2 linked regions of the Coturnix japonica genome follow. The protein of the gene in region 1 binds, or shares a complex with, the protein of each later gene. Links are inferred from orthologs where the notes say so. Each region holds a gene or a part of one and is shown on either strand. Other genes may lie near its edges.

Region 1 (4,074 bases):
TGCTTTCTTGGTGGCCTCTTTCACTACAACAACCAGCTCACACAGAACTGGATGAAATGAATTCCCGTTGGTTCTGCACAGAAGAAATAAACAGAAGTTGATGTTCCCCTACCCGCTTTCTTTTCTGAAGAATATGTAGCTTGCTTCTCCTTCATACGGCTTGAAATCCACACAGGACTTAAGGCGGAACATTTCAAATGCCTGGAGAATGACTCCTTTGGCGTTCAGATCTGGAGAACAAACATGAACAGAGCATCGTTAGCACGCAGGGGAGGTTCTCCACAGAGAGGTAATGGACACAGGTTTATGTATGGGACTGGAAGGAAAATGAATGGAAACAGAACTGATTGAATGTGATGAAGCTATGTTTTGTTATGATAGCTGTAGGAGAAAAAAAGGGTTTGATGCAAAGGAGCAATCTGGTTAATAGTGGATATCAATGGGACAGAACCAGCTCTGAACAAAGCACATTTTTTTACTGCACTGATTCCAGTGCAAACAAATACTGGAGTTAGAATATGAATAAAGTACCAGTATTACCTAAGTCATCACCCAGGATATAGGGAACGGGGAACTTCCACCTGTAGGTGTCGTTCCTTAAGGCATTTCGCTGGTTGACCTGGAAAGAGAATGGACAGCTGGTGATGCAGGTGATACAGATGGGCTGGTGGGTACCAGAAGTCCAATTGGGACAAATGAGAGCAATAAGGTTTTTGTAATTACTTACGGGAAGCAAGATATCACCCTGAAAGAGGTCCAATCCAGCAGCTGAAAAGCAATTTATTGAAAGGTAATGTAAATGGAATATCAAATAATCATTTTAACTCAAAAGCCACATTTGAGCATACTCATCCAAAGACACGTCCTCATGCATTTACAGGAAATCAAAGTCTATCCCCGGCTTCTACTCAGTATTTAATACTAAGCACTTTCTGTGGCAGAAATCTGGTGACAGCCTTTATCCAGATCATAGAATCCCAGAATCACAGCATGGTTGGGCTGGAAGGGACCCCAAGGATCACGAAGCTCCAACCCCCCACCACTGGCAGGGCCACCAACCTCCACATTGATACCAGCCCAGGCTGCCCAGGGCCCCATCCAACCTGGCCTTGAACACCTCCAGGGATGGACGGGGCATCCACAGCCTCTCTGGGCAGCTGTTCCAGCACCTCACTGCTCTCACAGTAAAGAACTTCCCCTGACATCCAACCTCAGTCTTCCCTCCTTCAACTCCAATCCATTTCCCCTTGTCCTGCCATTATCTGCCCTTTCACAGAGCTGACTCCCCTCCTGTCTGTAGGCTCCCTTCAGGTCCTGGCAGGCTGCACTGAGCTCACCCCGCAGCAAGTTTGTAAAGCTTCATACATATCATAAACGTATGGAAGGACTCCAGAGCCCTTAAACTGATAAAGGGTGATACTGTCTTTACACCAGGAGCCCATCCAAACAAGAGAAGCAAAAGACATCTGCATGCTTTGCTTACAGAGGGTCGCAGAATGTCTAGACAATAATTTTATACAGGAGGGACCTGAGACATCAGCATTTTGCTTGGTGTAGAGCAGAGTAGACTGGAGAAGAATGGAGTAGAGTAGAACAGCTCAGTTGGAGGGGACCTACAGTGATCATCCACTCCAACTGCCTCACCACGTCATGGCCAACTAAAACTTCAGTCATTACTGTGGGCTTTATTCAAATGCCTCTGGAACATGGACAGGGATGGGCACCAACCACCTCTCCAGGAAGACTGTGCCACTGTTTGATCACACTCACAGCAAAGAAACTTTTCCCAGCACCTACTGTGAACCTCTCCTGGAGCATCTTTGTGCCATTCCTGTGCATCCTGATGTAGGATACCAGGGAGAAGGCACTGGCAGGTTCAGAACTGATGAAGAATTTAGCCATGAACTCACCTAAGTTTATTTCTGGAATGTCTTTGATTATCTCACCAGCATCACCTTCTCCAGCTGCAAGACAGACAGAACATCGTGTGCTCAGCTGTGGTGGAACACAGCAAGGCAAAACAAAATGCTTCAGAACTCAAAGCAGTTCACAGAGTGCTTACCAGGCACACTGGAGAGATGCTCAACCTGCAAGAGAATAACACAGAGCCAGCATAAGGTATGGGGCATTTCTGCATTGAGAGGAACCCATTGAAATCAGGTTTCTACTTACAGAGACTGGATTAGCACATGCATAACATGACAGGAGAGCCAGGAAGAGCAGGGAGCTGTGGGTGCCCATTTCTGCAGCAGACATGGAAGCTGGCTCCCCTCATCTCTGGCAATATATAGGGCACGCTGCTGAGCTTCCCACAGGCACCAGCCAACCAGCTGCCAGCTTTCCTCCTTGGTTGTTATCATAACTTCATATTGTCCCCCTCAATGGCAGGTGATGATATTGCTGCCTTACCCAAGTCCACTTTAGAGGAATGTTAGAGAGGAATGCGATCGCTCCCAGTTCCATGCAGCACAAGGCTCACGTGGGCTCTGTGCACCATCTCAGTAGGGCCCAAAGTTGCTGACTCCTTCCACCGTGTTTATTGTCTGTCAGCATTACGATCTCAGCTGCGCTGGATAAAAGCCACGTGCTCGAACAGAATTATTGAGTTTATAGCACTCTGGTGACATGATAATTTCAGCTGGCATTTCTCTCCATTAATAATTAACAGTATATCATAAAGATTAGAAATAAGAGAGATATGATTACAAATGCCCTGACAGCAGCTTCCCACGGCCGATGCACCCCAGGACACACAGCTCAGTGCACAGCACAGCCCTGCCCTCCAGAGACAGCCATGGCCATCAGAAACCAAGGTCCTCAGGGCTGCTCTCAGTCTGTTCTCAGCTGCCCAGAGAGGCTGTGGATGCCCCGTCCATCCCTGGAGCTGTTCAAGGCCAGGTTGGATGGGACCCTGGGCAGCCTGGGCTGGTATCAATGTGGAGGTTGGATGGGGCCCTGACTGCATCAGGGCAGTTGGAGCTTTATGATCCTTCCAGCCCGGGCCATTCTGTGATTCTATGATTCTCTCCTGACCTGCCCATCTCAGCCCCACTCTATATTCCATTTGTAATCAGTTTCATGAGGGTGACATGAAGGGCTTTGTGTAACAGCTCACCACATCTCTACGGGCACTTTCCATCCGCGTGGCAGTGGGGTCTCCCCAGGCCCTATGGCTGCACCCATGGGTGCACTGTTTGCTGTCTGCCTGAAGCCAAGTGCTGAGCAGCCAAGGCATCAGCTCCTGCACCACGTGCTCTGTCATGCAACCAGAGCCTCGGGGTCAGCAAATCCTGAAAACCACAAGAGAACGGCCAACAAAGCAACAGGCAAAGCTGTTCCTCTAAAAGCAGGAGAGCTCTTTTTCCTCACCAACAAGCAATCCTGCTCTTTGTTTTCCTCCCTGCTTGGTGGATCTTCCACGTGTCGGCTTTTGCCACTCATTGGGTGCCCCCCACCCACGTCAGTACGGACCCCTGCAGGATGAGAGCAGCAAATCGCCCTCTCCCCACTGCCAGGTGCTGCTCCCCACACTGCCCACACTGCCAGCCCACCTGCTGCTCCTCCCTTGGAGCATCCCGCTCAAGTGACTTCCTCTTCTGTTTGGGTGAAAGTCAGCTTCCTATTTGGACAGCCCTGGACTGGGTAATTCTAATAACCTATTTATCTCTGCACATCTTCCTTTTCACCTCTCTAAAAAGCATGGTGAAGTCTAACGGCCGTCAAAAAAGCACAGTTTCCCACCAAAGCATGGCCTCCATCTGTCTGCCCAACGTGGCCCCATTCAGCAGCACTTGTCTGCTTTGCACCATTCCATGGACGCTGATGGACTCTAAGAGCAGCAGGCCAAGAAGGTGACGCTCGAAGCTGCCAGGAATGGCGTAATGTATTTTATGCCTGTCAGTATCAAGTCAGATCTTCCATGTTAACCCCATCCCAGAATGCTTCCATGCTGGGTTCAGGAACATTCAGGAAATACGTGCTTAATACAAATGATAACAGAGAGTTTCACATGAATGTGGAGCATAAGAGCTATTTTTTTCTTTGAGGACTCAGCACGATGAGTTTCCATCATTC
Region 2 (4,040 bases), on another chromosome or scaffold:
TATCTTGCTGGGCTTTTATTCTCTTTCTGACAGTCTATCTTTAAAACAAACTCATACAGGGCTAAATAGTGCCCTAGCACAGCTGTTTAGCTCTATCTGCTTATTAGTTCTGATCAAAAATTTTCCTTCAATTTTCATTTTATGAAATAAATCTTCCCACTCTATAAACTGACTAGAAAGTACAGCGAAGAACCTGTGAACCTTAAAATGAGGTTGATTTTTTCTTATTAAGACTCTGCTGTCTACTCAGAATGCACGTGTAGGGATTTTGTTGTCTTTAGTAGTACCTGAGTAACCCTCATGCCTGAGATTAAATATGAAAACAAAATCCTTACAGTTTTATGAGCCGGTCTGACCCTGCAGTTCTTCCACGGCCGCTTGCTGAGTACGTGGCATTCGGTATCCACTACATCCAAGATGAGATAGAAGACAGAACCAGGGATCTCCTGAGCACAAGAAGAGAACAGGTCTTATTGTAGCTGTGTACGGAACACAATAAAAAGCTTACATGTGTTAACTGCACGTTTAGACTGAGATTATGTCTTATTGAAGAGGGAGATAAAACTAAATGAATTGATTTCACTGGTTTATGGGGCAAGAATCTTGTAGATGTCTGATGCCAATGTCTGTACCATTTTGATACGGTATTTCCTGTTTCCTGTGTCTCTCTTGTACAATATCAGCTCTGCAACTCTGCTTATTATGAGCTTATTATAAAATCTACACATCTTTTTGTCTTCGTGCTTCGGTATGCATCATTCTCCTCTGGGGAAAGGATAATTTGGGGTTTATTCAGAGCTCAGCAGATCTCTGAAGGTTTCATTATCCTTCTTTTAATTTTCATAAAAAGACCACTATGCAAGGGCCTTTGATATCTGCTTGGTATTGAATAAAGGCTTGTATCTTTTCTGCTCCAACAAAGAGATCCCCCCCTCAATGCTGCTGATGCGAGTAGTGCTGTGCCACGTGTGCTGGAAAGCTTGGGAGCCAAAAGAGATTTGGCAGGGACACAGAATTGATTGCCTCTGTGGCAGGATGTTCTGGTGCAAGGGGAAGAAATGAAGTATTTTGGCATGATTTGTAATTTTGGTTAAGTGGCTGTTATTGAAGCTAATCATGAGTATCGTATATGAAAGAAGGCTCTGTCCTACTTGCGTGTAAGTTAATAGCAGATGGCTTATTAGTTTCAATTAGAGCAAAACTGAGCCACAAGTTGCTTAAGGGCAGATTAGAATTTGAAGTCATTTTGAAAATGTTTTTATCGTAAGTACTGACTAAAAAAGTGGGAGGAAGGAACTTGGACTGATTAAATACACGTATATATTTCTTGAAATTTGTGAGGTGCATTGAAGGTTATATAATATTTTTACTGTCGATGATTATCCCTGACATAGCCAACTGCTTATTATGTGCTCTGTTCCAGCAGCAGCAAGATTGTGACAAAGGGCTTAGATTGCCTAGTGTGTTATTACAGTGTCTCAGAACACCTCACTTGTAGGATAAGCTTATTAGATGCTTACACAAAATAATAGCAGTAAATCAAACTCACAAAGAAACAAAGAACAAACTGTGCCCTAATGAAATAAGATTCTGGGGAATTAAATGGCAGATCAAATCCCGAACAAGGCCCAGAATCCCTTTGAGCTGAGCGGGACTCAGTATGGGTGAAGGGAGAAGCAAGGAGATGAATAGAGAGGTTTAGAGCTGCACACAGCTTTGGTGATAGGACTGGGCCAGCACCAGCTCCACAACCAGCAGTGTGGGCTCTGGACCAACCCACAGGTGTCCTATGTGGAAACAGCTCTCAGAAGAGCTGACTCAGTGCTGTGTGCGTTTGGGCCTGGTGCAGTCATTTAAGGCTATCCCTTGCTAATGCCAGTAGCTTCATCTGTCATTACACAAAATGAACTAAGCATGCATAGGGAAATAAAACATTTGAGGATACGAAAGTGATATTCCACACCTATTCCCTGTGTAATTTTTGCACTTGAACTGTTATTGGTTTTCTTCTGGAGAATGACTCATCATGTAGAGATGTGTAAAGGAATTCCCTGGTCCCAAGCTGGTTGTGTTTCCACCTGTTAGCACTCACATCTTTTGTGCAAAATATGTGGTGGCTTATTAGCTCTTGCACTCCAACAGCTCAAGGCAGTGGGGGGAAGGTGTAATATGAAATTAAATCCAAGGAGTGGTGTTTCATATCAAATCGGAACTGATGCCTGGAGCTATTCCAGGGGCAGGCAGCAGAGAATCATGCCTGAGCTTTGCTCTCTAATTGCCCACAGTGGTGATGAAACTGTTTCTATTCATCTGTGCGTAAAGGTGACATGGCCCCTGCAGTCCTGTGAATGGAGGTTTACATTTGTCTCAGAGTATTTTGCAGTTCAAATAACTATTGCTGGGGAATACTGATAGACACGGGGCTCTTCGTGAGAGAAACAGATGTATAACAAGCAGGTAACTTACCTGAGGATGTTCTCTGACACTGAAAATGCGATAGAGGCTGAGGATGTAGCCCTCTGTTCGGTCAGCATTGATCTGGTCAAGAGCCAGGTCTGCAGCCTCCTCCACTGCAGCGTCATGGCAGGAGGGGGAGAGCAGCACGCTTGGCAGCTCTCTGGCAGGAGCAGAGGCAGCCCAGGAGCAAAGTGCCTGCGTGCCAAAGAGCACTGAAATAAGTAAAAGCATTCTGCTTAGAAAAAGCCGTGCCGCAGATCAGAATGGGAGGCTGGTACGCAGGAGCTGAGAACTGCGTGAAATAGCAGGCTTTGTAATGGAACCGTGTGTTTATAAACTTGTGTCCTCTCTTTATTACGTACTGCACATCACCTTTAAACCTATAGCTACAATTGCAAACACTAAGTCAATGATTACAAGGTTTTATGCAAGCCTTGTGGCTCCCACTGAGAGCAGAGAGCACTTTTTCCTTCTGCCTTTACAGCTCCAGTTCAGATGTGGTTGGGCAGATCACATAACTTTGACCTCATCAGAAGGCACAAGAATATACCCAGAAAGCTGCTTTCTTAAGGAACCAGCAGTGCTCAAATAAACCTGTGCGCAGGACAGTTCTGGCTCCAGCTCTGTTCTGTCAGCGATCCAGGTTTTCTCCCATGTAAAACAATGACCAAGGTCTCACTGGTTTGAGTGGAAGCAGGGTAAGAGTGGAGAGGGTGATGGATTTCACACCTGGCATTTCTGTTTGTTAAATTCTAATTGTAAACAAACATACCAACTCTTCAAGTATGTTGTCAACTTGGAACTTTGCAGGGACAGAACGGTCAGTCTGGATTCATTCTCTGAGTATTTCTACTCACTTGGCTACCTGCAAATTATTGTTGACCCTTAGCCACGGCCAAGCAAGCAAAATTCAATCCATGTCCAGGCAAGAGGCCTGTGAACAAGTGGCCCGCTCAAGCCATTACATACTTCTGTACATACATACAACCTGATAGTGTAAAAAGATGTAACAGTTTCATCATGGTGTCTGCTTTTAACCAGGAGTTTCTGTTGTCTTCATTTGGGACTTAGCAATCGCTGTAATTGCGTATAGTAGCAGAGATGTGGTAAGCTGAAATTTGTTCTTGCCCCAAAGGCGTCACTTCTTTTAGTGGAGTGCTTCAAAATGAGCTGTTGTGAAAGGCTGGGGGAAACAGACAGTAAATGAAGCAGGGCTGCCAAAACGTTACTTGGTGGATGCTCCATTACAGAATTTGTTCCCTTGCAATGCCTTGACTCCAGCCCACTTATCTTTTGTTGCCTGGATCTCTCAATTTATTGATGCTTACCAGGTATTTGATCCACAACTCTGATTTCCCTGAACCTTTCCTGTTTCATTCCATCTTCTCCTGCCATCTGACTTTGTTCTTACTGCCACATTGAGCAGAACACTTTCTGAACTTGCCATCCTTCCACATTCCTTCTGATTCCAAATAGCAGGTGCTGTTCTCTTTTTATCTCCTCTAACCTTAACTTCTGGCTGCATCTGGTTTCAGCTCCTGCCTGGCATTGCCTAGCTTTGTAATCCTGTGGGTTTAGAGGCA

Evidence for each region.
Region 2: the proteins of MEP1A (region 1) and FETUB are in contact, whole or in part, in a cryo-EM structure (PDB 7UAI), measured with the Homo sapiens proteins. The link is inferred for Coturnix japonica from reciprocal best matches to the Homo sapiens genes MEP1A and FETUB. Residues at the interface, in NP_005579.2 of Homo sapiens: Asp126, Gly127, Cys128, Trp129, Ser130, Glu131, Val132, Gln145, Gly146, Cys147, Tyr149, Ile152, His155, Glu156, His159, Tyr164, His165, Gln167, Ser168, Leu184, Gly186, Tyr187, His189, Asn190, Asp192, Tyr194, Tyr214, Gln215, Phe217, Ser218; in NP_001362516.1 of Homo sapiens: Phe109, Phe110, Lys144, Lys145, Tyr148, Met149, Thr150, Cys151, Pro152, Asp153, Cys154, Pro155, Ser156, Ser157, Ile158, Ser196, Ser197, Gln198, Trp199, Val200, Val201, Gly202, Tyr205, Phe206, Thr242, His245, Trp246, Phe249, Val250, Ser251.

Annotation. Positions count from the first base shown.
Region 1 is NC_029518.1:100,153,620-100,157,693, reverse strand, and holds the start of MEP1A (meprin A subunit alpha), read right to left. Parts: upstream 2,801-4,074; 5' UTR 2,257-2,800; coding exon 2,173-2,256; intron 2,088-2,172; coding exon 2,063-2,087; intron 1,965-2,062; coding exon 1,911-1,964; intron 769-1,910; coding exon 728-768; intron 620-727; coding exon 541-619; intron 231-540; coding exon 113-230; intron 1-112.
Region 2 is NC_029524.1:14,158,201-14,162,240, reverse strand, and holds the start of FETUB (fetuin-B), read right to left. Parts: upstream 2,801-4,040; 5' UTR 2,689-2,800; coding exon 2,467-2,688; intron 447-2,466; coding exon 336-446; intron 1-335. UniProt on the Homo sapiens protein: Protease inhibitor required for egg fertilization.